Alligator mississippiensis: one gene and its partner. The protein of the gene in region 1 interacts with the protein of each later gene in a biochemical or structural test. Links are inferred from orthologs where the notes say so. Each region holds a gene or a part of one and is shown in the gene's direction. Other genes may lie near its edges.

Evidence for each region.
Region 2: the proteins of SNTA1 (region 1) and solute carrier family 2, facilitated glucose transporter member 3 interact in a test that uses a peptide from one of them, tested with the Homo sapiens proteins (2 studies listed by BioGRID and IntAct). The link is inferred for Alligator mississippiensis from reciprocal best matches to the Homo sapiens genes SNTA1 and SLC2A3.

What each region holds. Positions count from the first base shown.
Region 1 is NC_081832.1:27,973,654-27,980,909, forward strand, and holds the start of SNTA1 (alpha-1-syntrophin), read left to right. Parts: upstream 1-4,228; 5' UTR 4,229-4,329; coding exon 4,330-4,594; intron 4,595-7,256. UniProt on the Homo sapiens protein: Adapter protein that binds to and probably organizes the subcellular localization of a variety of membrane proteins. May link various receptors to the actin cytoskeleton and the extracellular matrix via the dystrophin glycoprotein complex.
Region 2 is NC_081827.1:148,010,268-148,018,036, reverse strand, and holds the start of solute carrier family 2, facilitated glucose transporter member 3, read left to right. Parts: upstream 1-4,750; 5' UTR 4,751-4,765; coding exon 4,766-4,906; intron 4,907-7,769. UniProt on the Homo sapiens protein: Facilitative glucose transporter. Can also mediate the uptake of various other monosaccharides across the cell membrane. Mediates the uptake of glucose, 2-deoxyglucose, galactose, mannose, xylose and fucose, and probably also dehydroascorbate.

The sequences.
Region 1 (7,256 bases):
CTGAAGTGTAAATCTCTGCAATGGCCTAGGAGAAAAAAATTACCTTTGTTTTATCCATCTCCAAAGCAGTTCCATCCAGTCTCTGAGGATGTTGCAAGCAGGCTTTGAAAATATCCGCCCCAGAGAAAAACAGTAGCAGAAGAAAGCCCTGATCCTGCCATTGGCTCCTGTCTTTGAAAATCTGTCACTGGAATGCAGCCTGGTGTGCACAGTAACCGTGCTGTACCAGCAGCACTACGCAAGGTTGTTTTCTTGATATAGGGATATCAGGAATAAGCTTTCCATGCACATTTTTCTCTGTAAACAAAACATAACTGGGAATACCAGAATGTTGTAAGCTTCTGTTTGTGCATTTTAAAAGCATCTTATGTTCTGTCACATAATTTATAGCGAGGGCACCAAACTCCCTTTGGTCCTCTCTCCCCCCTGGCCAGATTCAGACCCACCTCTGGTGGTGGGGTGAGTGGCCATGGCATTAACCATTGTGGGTTTCTGTGCCTCATGGTTTAATACACTCATTGCTCACCCCTCTGCTGCCAACACATGTCCTGACAGGCCTCCATACGCTCAAATCAGTGGTGGGACCCTGCGCTAGAACTCCCATCCCCTCCAGGTGCCCAGAAAGCCCAATAATAAAGTTCCACAGACCAGCCCTGGCCCAGAGACTGTATCTTTCACGTTACTGGTGTACAGGTTCATTGATTTTAAGGGTGCAAAGGATGGTTATAATTATCTACTCTGATGTCTGCATAATGGGGAACAGAGATCTTCACTCTAATGTTCCAGTAACTCATGGTCCTTCCACTGGGGGCTGTTGATCTTTAGGTCCCTGCACCGTCTCAGGCCTCCTGGAGCTGTCAGCCTTGAGTTGGGGTCCCTTTCCTCTGGGCCCTGTGCCCGGCACCCAGGGAACTTCTATGGAAGCCGAGCCCTCACTGGCTTCAGTTCCTGGCCTCATGCCAGGGGTCTTTCCCCTTTCCAGGCCCTGGTCTGGGCACTGGGGCTCTTTTAGTTTAATGCTGAACCACACTGAGGGGCTCCGGTTATCAGGCCTAGACCCAGGGCTAACTTAAGCAGCCTCGAGCTGCTCCCAAGGCCGAGTCTCCACGCACCGACCTATGCACCATGTGGGGCCCGAGCAGCCTCGAGCATGCAGAGAGCTGGCCCTGGGAGCAGCTCGAGGCTGCTCGGGCCCCACATAGTGCGCAGGTTGATGCGTGGAGAGTTGGCTGAGGAGGCCGGGGTGCCCAGCTGTTTGCCGGATTTGCCTCGAGTGCCTCCCAGAGCCTGAGCACCGTGCGCTGATTCAGGCACCATTGAGACTCAGGCGGAGTCCTGATGACGGAGTCACACTGGGCTTTTATTTACATTGGAGGCCCTGCCCCGAAGTCCGCTGGACCTGCAAAGCGCAGTCTTCAATCATGTCCAGGGGCTCCTTGCCCCCCGCTTCTGAGCAGGGGTGGGGCATGCCCCTCCCAGCTGTTACCTGATTGGTGGAAATGTTCCACCAATCTGAAGTGTCCTTCTCCAAGCCTGGTTTGCTGGGCAAAAGCAGTCAGCCTGTCACACAATCATGCATCATCACCCCAACTCTGTTCTCCATTTTTTGACAGTAGCCCTAGTTCTCGTTAAGAACCATGTTCCTTCCAAAATTGACACAGAATACCAAATGCATTGAGGGATCTTCAATCTGTTTTTTTTTCTCTCAATGATCAAAGTATTCAAAACAACCATCCTTGACCTTCAATATGCAGATGACTACACCACACTTGCACACACTGAGGAAAACATCCACACCATGCTGGATCTTTTTAAAGAAGCCTACTAAACTGTGGGCCTCTCAACATTGAGAAGACTAAAGTGCTTTATCAACCAGGCCATGAAGACAACCCCCTTCCCCAAATTACAATTGAGGGAAAGACCCTGGAGGTAGTCAAGCATTTCCCCTACCTTGGCAGCCACCTTTTTCAAGGAGTGAACATTAATGAAGAGTTCCAGCACAGGATCTGATGCACAAGTGCCTTCTTTGGGAAATTGCTTTGGTGTGTCTTTATTCATCAAGATCTCTGGAAAGACACCAAGATCTAGGTCCACAATGCAGCCATGATCCTCACCTTCCTCTGCAGATGTGAAATGTGGGTGATCTATGATCATCTCAAGAGCCTATAGAGGTATCATCAGCAATACCTCCAGAAAATCCTCCACATCAAACGGGAGGATTACCACACTAATGCCAGCATCCTTGCTGAAGCGAATGGTACCAGCATTGAGTCAGTGTTCCTCAAGCATCAACTTCACTGGACCAGACATAGTGTGCGGATGCCTGACTCTCGACTCCCAAAACAAGTGCTCTATTTCCAACTTAGCAATGGCCTGAGATCCTACAGTGGCCAAAGGGAATGCTACAAGGACACACTCAAGGCATACTTCAAGAAACAGATGGCAACATCAAGAGCTGGGAGGTGCTGGCTGCCAACTGACCCCAACGGCACCACAACCTCAACCCATTTTGAAGTAAAGCATCTTGCCCTCGAAGCAGAGAAGACAGAGTAGAGGAAGGAAAAGGAGAGGAATCCTTGCCTGCAGCCCACTCTCCCCTGCAGAAAGACCTACAACTCCTGCGGATGGATCTGTTGCTCAAGAATTGGACTCTTAAATCATCTCAAGACCCATCAGTGAACCATGGTAGAGACCATCCTTGAATCAAGGGATTGCCAATGATTTTAGTAATCCTTTACTCCTGAGCCATGACTCCACATGGCTAGATATCTGTAAAAATAGAAAAAGAACCAAATTACCTTCTGTTTTACCCAGAGACACAGATGCTGTTAATCTTAAATATATTGGTTTTGTTGTTCACTGAGATGAGTGGATCCTGTTTGTTAAGGATAAAAGGAAGATTTTTGAGGTAATATTTTTCATTGAACCAACTTGTAGAGCTAGATAAGACAGCAGATTCATGTATGCTGACAACATTTGATAAGGAGTGCTCTGGCTAGCCAAGCCACCCTTTGGGATGGGTACTTGGAACCATTGGTTTAGTTTCTTCAGAATCCTGTACATTTTCATTGAACCCTTCGCAAAGATGATTGATTTAAATTATCACTGGATTTATGAAGTTTTTGTGGGTATTTTGTCCAGAGATTTCTCAAGCTCTTGCAAGATGATATCGAAGACACAAAGGACAGATACAATCACATCCTGCTTCACTTCCCAGTTAAGTGGATCACCTATATGGCAGCTCTAGGAGTCTGCTAATATTCTTGATGCTGTGTGTGTTCAAGGTGCTGTTATGTCTCCTGTAGAGCCAAGAATAATTTGCATCCAAAGAGCTGGATAAAGTTTACAGGGAAAGAGCTTTGTGACCAGCTGCTTCCTACATCTGGCTCTCCTCATGCCCCAAGGCCCATAGCACAAGATTCTGAGGACAGGTACAGGGAACCAGCCAGACCAAAGCCCCATGCAAGGATCAAAGCATTGTAGAGGCATGAATGAATTAACCCTAACACTCCACAGGGGTGGGCAAGTCTGAGGGATGCTCATCCTCATTTTAGAGGGAGAGGGGACTTGAGGCAGGTCAGACTACACGAGTAGCAGAACTCAGAAGCCTGGTTATCCAGCACCCTGCTCTAAGCATCACCTTCTGCTCTCTGCTAACCTGTTGTCTGTTTAACTAAATGTACACCAGGAGAGATCAGGTGTCTTTCCCCTCTTTATTCTCCTAAGTTAATGTTTCCCATAGTTTTGATACTGGGGGTACACATTTTTATGGAGTAAAATGGGTGGCACATATCCGCTCCCTGGACCCTGCCGAGGTGTGTGGGGCTGGTGCAGCGTGAACCTGCTGTGTAGGGCCAGCTCTGCCAGAACCCGATCCTGCGCCACGGAGCGTGGCCGTTTGGTGGCGGGAAAGCGGCGGCCAAATATCGGAGCCGCCGGGACTGGGTGACGGCTCCTCCGGCCGGACCCCGCTGACACACACTTGGTGCTGGCGTCCTGCCACAGCCTCTGGGAACCGCTGTCTCAGCTCGCGCACGTAGCCGTGCCAGGGCGGCCGGGGAAGCAGGATGAGTCCGCGGGGCCTCTTGCCCTGGCTCAGGAGCGGCCGCGGCGCCGGCTGAGGCCGCTGCCCGCGGGGCCCCGGCGGCCGCGCTCGGGCGAGGTGGGGCGGGGCTCAAGTGCTGCGGCCGCTCGCGGCGCCCGGGCCGGCTGGGGGGCGGCACCCTGGGCGGGGAGGCCTCAGGCGGCGCCGCGGTGCCCGGGGCCCAGTCGCTGCCGACCCGGGCGGGCGGGAGGCGGCGCAGCAGCCGGTCCCGGAATGCGCTGAAGATGGCGGCGGGCAGGCGGGCGCCCAAAAGCGGGCTGCTGGAGCTGCGCGTCCCGGCCGAGCAGTGGCTGCGGGTGCTGGTGACTCTAGCCGAAGACTTCCTGAGCGTGAGCCCCGCCAAGGGCGCGGCCGCCGAGGAGCCTCCGGCCCCGGCGCCGCAGGACAGCGCGGAGTCCGGCGCCGCAGTGCCCGACGCGCTGGCCAACATCAAGCGCACGGTGCGGATCGTCAAGCAGGACGTGGGCGGGCTCGGCATCAGCATCAAAGGTGCGGGCGCGGGGCGGCCCAGGGGCGCCGAGCAACTTTGGGGCCAAACTTTGCGGCGGGTGCTGGGAGCGTGCCGGGCGCGGGGCCCGCGGAGCTGCTGTGCCGGCGCCGCCGCGGGCCTGGCCCGCGGCCCCAACGCGCTGCTGCCACACGCAGCTCCTTGCGGCGCTCTCCGCCTGCCTGGGACACGCGTCTGCTCGGGCTCGCTCCGCCGGTCCCTCGAGGCGGGGCAGCTGCCCGCAGAGTTCAGCGGGGGGCGGTTACCAGTCTTTATTTCAAAAACTTGGACGCTTCTTGTCGGGGGTGGGAAGAGCAAATCACTGCGGGAGGATGCTTCTGTCTGGGAGATCCCCAGGCTGCTCCGACCCGACTTCTTGGCTTGCCTGATGCAGCCTCTTCTGAGGCTGGAGGTAGAACCCAGCTGAGCCGGTTGGCTGCTGCTCAGAAATATCAGGCAAAAAAAGTTTAAAAATAGATGCCAGGGACAACGGGTTTCAACCGTTATATTTGCAGACCCCTAAAAATGTTGAAAGGCGGTGCAGGCACCTCTGACCTGTGAATGTGGGTGGTCACATACTTTTGACTGATCATAGTCATCTTTCACAGACCCCTTAGACATAGTCTGGGCCCCCAGCCCCCTGTGGAAACCACAGTTATGCCCCATACCTGGGGCAAGCAGAGCTGAGAATTGCTTTTCTCCCAGGGCTCTGCTACTGTTTCAATTAGAGTAGGACACATCTTCAGGCACTAATTTTGTAGCTCATTGGGTCTTTTTAAAGCAGGGGAGTCCTTCAGTGTGATAATTACTGTGGACATGTGGCCCATCTACATTTGTTGCACAATTCACGGTCAATTGCGTGATACATATCACATGTAGCAGGTCCCTCCTCCCCCTCTGTTTCTCTCCCATTCTGTGCCTTTGAATTTGGAATTCAGCTGTGTTTTGCAGAAGTGTTAAGGTGTTATTTGTCCTCCCCTTTGTAACTGAACCAAAAGGCTGTTCTACCTTTTTGCAGCCTATTAGCATCCCTTCATATTAGCCAGCACCAGGCAACAGATCTTGCTCCATAACACCTTGCCCATATCAGAAGTGACGATGAAAAATCCGCAGTCCACACCACTTGTCAGATTTAACCTTCTAGGGGGACTGAATTGTAAAGGCACCTCTGTCAACCCCATCAGCACGACTTGAAAGACCTCATTTGTACAAGTTTGCTGCACTAAGACACAATGGAGAAGTTGGCACAGTGTGTTGAAGGAGCTCTGAGTAATAGACAGTGTTAACACAAAATAAACCAGGTTTTGAAGGTATAATTTTCTTGAAGCGGCAGGACGCATTTATTTATTTTATCTGTTAAAGTTTCTCAAGCAACCTGGAAAAAGTGCAGCTTTGACCTTTAGAATCAAAGATGGAGGTAATGTACCTCTCCAGGAAGTTGAGTACATTCACAGAAGATGAAAGGAAGTGATTTTAGGAAAGCTAATCTATTGCCATGCCCCTTTAAAAGCTAGGTCCTTCCTTTAAACTTACACCCAGTGTTTTTCATATTTTTATTATGAGCCAAATGCAAGAGTGAAATAGAGTCCCTCCAAACTATGAAGATTTGGGGCAGAATCGTATTTTACTTTGTGTGCCCAAGTGCCAATTTTCCACCCTTCTAATTGAGAGTTTAGCGTTGACACAGTTTGCAATCCTGTCTCTATATAGCATGAATGTGCATCCACGTGACTACTGAGCATGTTTAATGTGAAGGTATATATGTTCCAAAATTTCAGTCTGGCAAAAAGGAGGGCCCCCTTCCCATGTTTTAGTGTCAAAGCCATCAGAAACAGGAGATTTACGTTATGGACCCCCATTCCTCCCATGCAAGATGGCTTATAAACCTGGATCTTTCTGACTTCCAGGATGGCGCGCTGGGTATAGGTGAGGCATTATTCAGCCGTTCTTCTGAACCTGAGTTGCTGTACTTTGTGTTTAATATTCAATGGATAAACAGGTATTTCTGGTGCACTGGGAGAAAGGGCCCAGATTAGAATATAGGATCTGCTCCCTTGCAGAGGGCCAGACCATAAAATAAATGCATAACATATGGCCTGGTGATTAGAACATTGTGCTTTTGGGAAGTTGAAGAGGTGGAACATGATCTATATACTAGATTTTTTGCTTCCTGGGTAAGTGTGTTAGCTACCCAGGTATGGGATGTAAAGCATGAGAGAGCCCCCCTCCTCCTTTTCTGGCATCTAATAACCTGCTATTTGTGGAGTAGCAGGTGGAAAGAATTCCATGACTTGGCTTGTGCAGAGTACGTGTGTATGGAGCTGCATATCTACCCAGCCAGAGTGCAGCCTGCCACACGTGTTTAGTAACTTTATGGATGGTTGCACAGTGCATGTGGACTAACTTCACAATTTGTAAGTGGCACAAATGGCAGTTGCACAGCTGGAAAACAGCCATTTGGGTGTATAAAGTGAATTAAGTTTCTTTCTGCCCTTGGTGTTCTCAACCCACAAACTTGGTCAGTCTCCCAAGAACTGTGGCTGGCAAGGAGTGGGGAAGAGGACAGGACATTTGCACAAGCTGAATAAAGCACAGAAAGCTAGCAGCTGGCCCAAATTCTAGTGGCAAAGAATGGAGACATAGCAGCATTTTGGATATTTGGGG
Region 2 (7,769 bases), on another chromosome or scaffold:
CCTATCAGTGCCGTAGCAAGGGGTGCAAGCGTGGCGACTGCCCCAGGCGTCTAAACGAAGGGGGACAACAGGCACGAGGCTTGGGACAGAGCCATGAGTGGCTCTTTGCAGGGGTGCGGGGATGGGGGAAGGGCAGCTCCCACTGCTGCATGCACTCCCAGGCAAGGGGGGGGGAGGGGCCTGGATCTGTGCACAGGGCAAAGGTGGGCTGCCATTGCGGGTTTTGCCCTGGGCGCCAAACTTCATTGCTATGGCACTGCTCCCTATTTCCTCTCTTACCTCTCCTTCCATTTCCTTTACAAGCACCTTTTCTCTCCCAAACTTTTTTCTCTTCCATCCCCTTTCTCTATGCATTTGTCTTTCTCTCCTCTGTTGTCATTCCTCCCCTTCTCTCCACTGACAGAGTCCATCTCTCCTTAATTTCGACTTTATTCGTCCTTTGCCTGTCCCATACATGTTCTTTCCTTCTTCCACACTTTATCGGAGATATATTTTGTACCTCTGGGAGCAGCCTCCAATTGTATTTTAAATTCTTAATGCTTTGCATGTGTATTGCACTTTCAATGAGGTTTAATATACTAGATCTAGTAAAAGTGTTTCAAAAGTCAGAAGGCAGTTGGCTCCAGAATCTGTGCAGCCTATTAGGTACGTAAGTCGACTTAGGCACCTACGTACAATTCTGTTACACTCTGCGGGAGTCCCTGGAAAAATGTTAATGAAAAGGGTGAGTGGGTCTTCCTCCTGATCTCTGCTTTTTAAGACTTAGTCTTAAGGCTAAGATGACAGTGTGTTACAAAAGTAGCATGTTAATTGTTTTAGGAACTTGAGCAGGGTGGGATAAGATCACATTTGGGTGCAAAATAGATGGACTCAAATTTGGCCCTTTCTGTCTTTTCTCTCCTTTGTTTTTTCTTCCTTTTTTCTCTCTAATGTGCTCTCTTCCTCTCCTTCCCCTGTCTCTCTTTCTTCTCTGCCCTGTCACACTTCTTCTTGGGTGCCTGTACACGTGCGGGATGCCTGCACCAATGCGTGTTGGAGCAGACTCGATTAATTAAGTCTGATGGCGCATTCTAATTAGGATGCTTCAGCAGCATCACCATCATGTGTATTCAGCATCCCCGCATTTCAAAATGGCGGCAGGGGCACTTTAACTAAACTTGCTGAATGAGCTTTAATTAAAGCACCCTCGCCGCCATTTTGAAGCATGGGACACTGAATACATGAGACGCTGCAGGCATTTTAATTAGAGTGGGTCCCAAGATTAAAACACCCCTCTGGTCCCCCACCCTGAAGCATGTATATAGATGCCCATGATCATAGTTTTCCATCACTTTAATAGTAAAAAGACACCCCTCTCTTCTCTCCCATTCTTTATGTACTTTCTTTTTTTCTTTCTTCATTCCTCTTTTCTGCCCTCTCTTAACACTGCAAATTTTTCACAAAGCTTATACTAATTCCCCATGTCAACAACACTTTCTGTTGGTAGGGTTTCAAATACACAAGGGCTTTTGCCTAGGACTAGTTGGGAATTTTCTGGCAAAATAGCTTTTCAGCATAAGATGTTGACTCATCTGAAGCACCAAGTTTTTGCAGGCATGTACCAACTTGGATGTAGAAGGTAGAACTTCTAGTAAAAGAATAAAGCTCTTCCTAACTCAGTAGTCTTGTGGCCGGGCACTTCCCTGGAATTTAGACAGCCCTAGGTTTAAGTAACTGGCCTAATAAAGGGTATAATTTTGCAAGGTATGGATTTGCATCCATACTTAAACTACCAACTCTTTTAAACCATGGGACAGCTGAATTAGAATTGTTGTTTGGAACTGGCACTCAAATCAGTGTGGTAGATCTGTTGTCCCTACATCTTTGGGTAAGCTTAGCTTCCAGCTTCAACTCTTAACCTTATGTCTAATTATCATTCCTCTTTACCCTGCAGACCCCGTTAAACCCCTTAATCTCATTTAAGCAACCCCTTAAAGAGTGTGGCTGAATAAACCATGTCACAAGTGGATCTAGTAGTGAGATTCCTATGACAAAATTGTTATTACAGTTACAACTGGGTTTGGAGCTACAAATTTGTATCTAAATCTGAGCCCAGATTTTGGATTTCACAGCACTTACAGGAAGTTGGGGGTGGGGGTGGGAAAGGAGGGCCGGCTCAAGGCAAGGCAGGACTCAGAAATATTAAGAATTAGAAATATTCTTAGCCCATTGTGGAGATTAGTTGCAACATCCAATATCCTGAACTGTGCAGAGCATCTCCAAAATAGTGATTTGACTCCTCTCTCATTATTTTCAGTACTGACGTAAGAGACTGCTGGATTATTTTTGGCAAGTTAAGAAGGGAGAAAAAAATCCTTAACACTGGCAAAGGTAGTCTGCATGAGCGGGAAATTACTGCGTGAAGAAAATGTGTAATTTCTCCTAATCTTTTTCACAGAGCCAATTTTCTGACTAAAACTACTATTTACACCCGGTATCTGAACACTCCTGAACTATAGAGAAGTTCAGACTCCAAAACAAACCTTTCATCCTGTGCCCAACTGTAAACCCACAGCACTTTTGGCTCCTCTTTGTCCCTGTGTGACCACTAGGGTTACCATATTTCCAGTTTTAAAAAAGGGCACACCTGTTGGGGGGACACCTCATTCCCAACCCATAGCCCCCTGGTCCTGCCAGTGCCCCTCACTCCCAACCTGCAGCCCCTTGGTTCTGCCAGTGCACCTCACTCCTGACCCACAGTTCCTTGTCCTCCCCTCCCCTCCCACTGGCTATGCTGGTGACTCTCAATCCCAACCTGAAGCCTGCCCCCCCAGCCCTGCCAGTGCTGCCAGGCACCTGCCCAGCGTCACCCTCCCCCCCCCCCTCCACACATCCCTGCCCCTCCCCCCCCAACAGCCCCCAAGTCCAGGTCCTCCAACCCCGTTCCTTATAGACTTACCTGCATCCAACTGCCGGTGCACATGCCCTCCCCTGCTCCCACCAGAGGAGTGGAGCAAAATCCCAGACATCGGTTCAGATTTAAAAAAAAATGCCCAGACAGAGATGGGAGGACCCAAAAAGGGGACATGTCCAGGAGGACTTGGATGTATGGTAACCCTACTGATCATTCTAAGACAGTCACTGAAATGGGATTAAGATTCTTTCCAAATCAGATGAGAAAAGTTGATAAGAAAACATAAAATGGTCTTTCAATCAATGAGATGCGATCTCCCTTGCAATCCCCTCCAATACTGAACTGTTGCCACTTTCTAGACTCAAACTGGTTCTGTACCCAACAGGGAATTTACTGCTCAGGGTTTCTGCCTAGGATTAAAAGCCTGGCTCTTTGATTGAGTCAACCATTTTGCTATAGTTTGGCTGATGAAGGGGCTGTAAGGAGGGTGGAGGGTGAGTTTCTCTGGAACTGGAAAGAGCACGTAATGATTTGTGGTCAGGAACTGATTCCGGTTGTAGAGGCCAACTTTACACAGCAGAATCACTCAGCATGGAGAGTCTCTAGCTTCATATAGGGGGTGTGCTGTCCAGATGCATCTTTTGAGGTTTCTGTTTCTTTTAGAGGTTCCTGAGAATCTCCCTCACCTCTGAACACAGTGCACCACCATTTCATAAAGAACCTCCCAAACACAGCTAGCTCGTCCTTCTATAGCGGGGCTGGAGTGTTGCATTACTGTGTTGTCACCATTACAGGGCAGCAACAGCACACTATCTCAAGTCACAGCAAGGTAAGTTTAGGTTGGATATTAGGACAAAATTTCTCACTAGGAGGGTGGTGAAGCACTGGAATAAGTTGTCTAGAGAGATGGTGGAATTGCCATCCTTGGAGGTTTTTATGGTTCAGCTTGACAAAGCCCTAGCTGGAGTGATCTAGTTGGGGATGGTCCTGCTTTGAGCAGGGAGTTGGGCTCAATGACCTCCTGAAGTTTCTTCCAACCCAAATTTTCTATGATTATATATATATATATATATATATATATATATATATATATATATATAAAATTTCACTCCATCAGCAGACACAACACACGTGTAGATAGATAGATAGATAGATAGATCAGTGGTCAGCATTGTTTTTGGTTAGTGCCAAAAACACCCACAACCTCAACTTGTAAGATATTGGTGTGCCAAAGGCAGATGGCGAGGGAGCCGTGAGGGGCCTAATCCTGGTTGTGGCAGCACAGCCCCAGCCCCTTTCCTGCCATCCACCCTGAGGCATGCATGCCAAATCAAATGCCTTTGCATACCATGCTCTGGCACCCATGCTGGAGGTTGCCTACCCCTGAGATAGAGAGAGAGAGAGAGAGAGAGTGAGTGAGTGATATCTAGATCTAGATAAATAGATAGATACAGACACACAGATAGATAGACAGACAGACAGATGAATATTTAGACAGATGGGCAGGTGGATGATAGATAGATAGATAGATAGATAGATAGATAGATAGATAGATAGATAGATTCCACCTCCATCACGTGTTTCCAGGGCAGCAACAGCCCTACCAGCTCTTCCCCCCCCCGATCGCCCCCTCTCCTCCCGGCCCTCTCTGCCGGGAAGCGCAGCCCCAGCCCAGGGGAGGCGGCGCTGCCAGACGCTGCCTTGTAAGGGGCGCTGCGCTTGTTTCAATTTCCATCGATGCAAACGTACAATCCTGACATGGGAGGTCACAAGACCTCTGCTTTTTTTCCTCCTCTCAGCATCAGGCGAGACAGGCGGGGGCTCGTCCCTGCCCCGCCCCTTCACCAAAGCCATAAATAGCGGCTTTGAGTCATGAACCTCAGACCAGTGGCATCAATCCCAGGGCGAGTGTGCAGCGAAGACCGACCCAGCCAGCGCAGCGCATCGCGTAGGACCGCGGAGGAGGGACAGGGAGCAGGCTCGGATCGCTCCAGCACCATGGACCGCCCGAAGGTAAGGGCAGCACGGGGGGCTCCCCCAGCATCTTCTTGCCGCACCTGGTGCAGCCGCGATCGCCTTCAGAGAGGCGAGGAGCAGCCGGACCCCGCGGGGTTTTGCACGCCCAGCCCAGCCCAGCCGGCGGGGTTAGTCCGGCCCTGGGGCTGGGGGCGAGGTGCTGAGTGGCCCAGGATGCAGAGGCTTTGCTGTGGTCTGGGGGAAGCTCTTGCACCAAAACCAGCCCCCGCTACATAAGGTGGAGGAAGGCAATGGGATCGCCATCCTTGGAGGTTTTTTATTTCCAGGCAGACAAAGCCTTGGCTGGGATGATCTAGATGGGGATGGTCCTGCTTTGAGCAAAGGGTGGGACTAGATGTGACCCCCTTCTCATCCGAATGGTCTATGATGCTGGGATGAAAAATTGGTACCCTGGATTTTTTGGGGGGGGGGGAGGGGGCACGTACAGGGAGGGGTTTCTGTAGGGTTGTTGCAAGTCATGGCATTTGTTTGCACCTGGTGGGGGCCTGGCTTTCCAGGTTGTCCTTGCCTTGGCATCTTGTTACTTGGCACGAGATGTGCTTTGCTGGCTGAGCAATAGCTGTTTGGGCTGGCGTGGACCAAGATGACAGTGCACTCACGATAATGAAAGGACAATGGCTCTCACTGGGGTCCCCTCCCCTGATAAAAGCAAGTCATCTTCCAGTCTGAACAGATCAGGGTAGGCAGGATCTCTCCCTTTTTTGCTGCCAGAGGGCTCGTGAGCCTTTGTCAGCATCTCTGTGGACCTGCAACCACACGTGTTGTGTCTGCTGATGATGGAGTGAAATGATTCGCAGTGTGCGCTCCGGAGCATTAAAGATAAAGAAGGAGCAAGGAAGAGGCATGGAAAGAGACAGGGAGGGAGGGAGGGGATGCAACAGCCAACAGGGCTGTTTGATCCTGATGCTCTTTCAAGGATACCTGGGGGTTATTTTGTGGCATAAATAACCCAGTAGCCATCAGCAGGCACAGCCGGGGCTTTGGATACTGCTTCTTAAGGTAGCAGAGGAAAAGGGGAGGGAGGGAGCTGCCAGCCAGCATCCCAGCCAGGGTCATTTAGAGGAGAGTAAAGGAGCTGCCCAGCAATAAGTGGCACTCTTCTGGAATTGTAGGCTGTAAAATGGGAAAGCAGCTGATAGGAAATGGCTCCCTGGATAACCCACATGCAGGTGGACCTTGGTGATGCTGCAGAGGGGCAGGGGTTGTGCTTTGAATTCTCCACCCCAGACACACCCTTAGGGTGTGTGGATCCCACCCTGGTCTTTCTGAGCTATGTGGGTGCCTTCTGGGGAGGCTCCACTGGGAGTAGGGAATATACCTTAGCTTGGAGCCCTGCTTACTTCAGGGTATGGGTGGGACCGTGTCGTGTAATGAAATGAGAGATGGGATGTGTATAGACTAGAAAAGGCAGATGACATGGAAAAGAGTGGAGAACACCAGGGAACTGTGCCCACTGTGCTCCCCATTTGTGGGGATAAAGCATGCCCTCCTGTGCTTCAGGTAACAGGAGACCTGAACTGGACAGTTCATGGAGGGAACCATGACACAACAAAGCCCTTAGTGTGATTATGGAATGAAAAAAATGGGAGGTTTAGACTGTTTCCAGTCCCATGTACCTTTAAAGATGTGGTATCTTGGTCTGTCTGTTCTCAGTTCCTCGTCTGTAAAATGGAGGTAGTGATAGTTCCTACATCATTGGGGTGGTTGCAAGGTAAAGCAGTTAATACTTGTGAGGCAGCTGTGTCCAAACCAGTGCCATTTGGAGTCTGGTGCAGCATACAAGCTTCTGACCAGCCCTGGACTTGGCCTTCTTAGTCTTTCTATGATAATGCAGGGGGAACAGCTCTGAATTTGCAGCATTTGCAATCTCAAGGATAACTGAGGCTGGGTATGGAATGGAAGGAGGTACCACAACAGGCCTCCACAGTAGTCCCAGTCATCTGTGGTGAAAGCAGAGCCCAGCAGCTCCCCTTGTCAATACCTTTGGAGGAGTTCCAACCCCTACTGTGTGAGGCAGGAGGGGGTGTAAAGGGTAGACCTTCTTACTAGAGCCAACCCTAAGTGCTCAAAAATCCCACATAAGTGCCCCCCGCCTCCCCCCGCTTTGCTTTTCTTTGTAGCCTGAGGGCTTGGAAACTTGGTTTATTATTTTATTGAAAATGGAGATTCATTTGACTCCTGTAGAGGAGGCTTGAAGAACAAATACCAAGTATTGTGAGACTCTTAAGTTGGCAGTGATTGCCCTCTGGCCTGCAATACAGAAATCTGCCACCATCAGCACCCTGGTGCAGGGCAGCTGGGTCCCACATTGGGAAGGATGCAGGTCTTCATGGCAGTACAAAGCACCAATCCCTTTGGACTGGATTCCACTCTCATACGGGTGCAACTGAGATGCACTGACACAGATATCCAAGGCTCCAGTCACCTGGCATGGGAAGCTTTATGGAAGATTATACCTTAGTCACATGCCAAGAGGCAAAATCTACTTCTCATTAAAGAAGATAAGCCAAATATAACAGCCACTCACTAGCATAGCTTCCCAAAGAGACACAGATAGAGGATGGAGGTCAGGGGAAGCACACACAGGAGAGGACTCTTCTTCCTTATATTGGACATCAGTAATACTCTCTGAATCTTAGATAGGTTCCTGATCCCCCAGTCCCTTTTTTGGTCTCAAATGAATTCTTTCTTCAGTGGCTTGTTCAGGTACCCACTGGGTGCTTGTTGCTCCTTTTTCTATGTGTGCATTTGGATGATACTTCCTGACACAGTGTATCCTCCAGACAGACAAGTGTGGCTGTCTTCCTTGGTTTTGTTTAGATATATTTTTTTTTTCTTC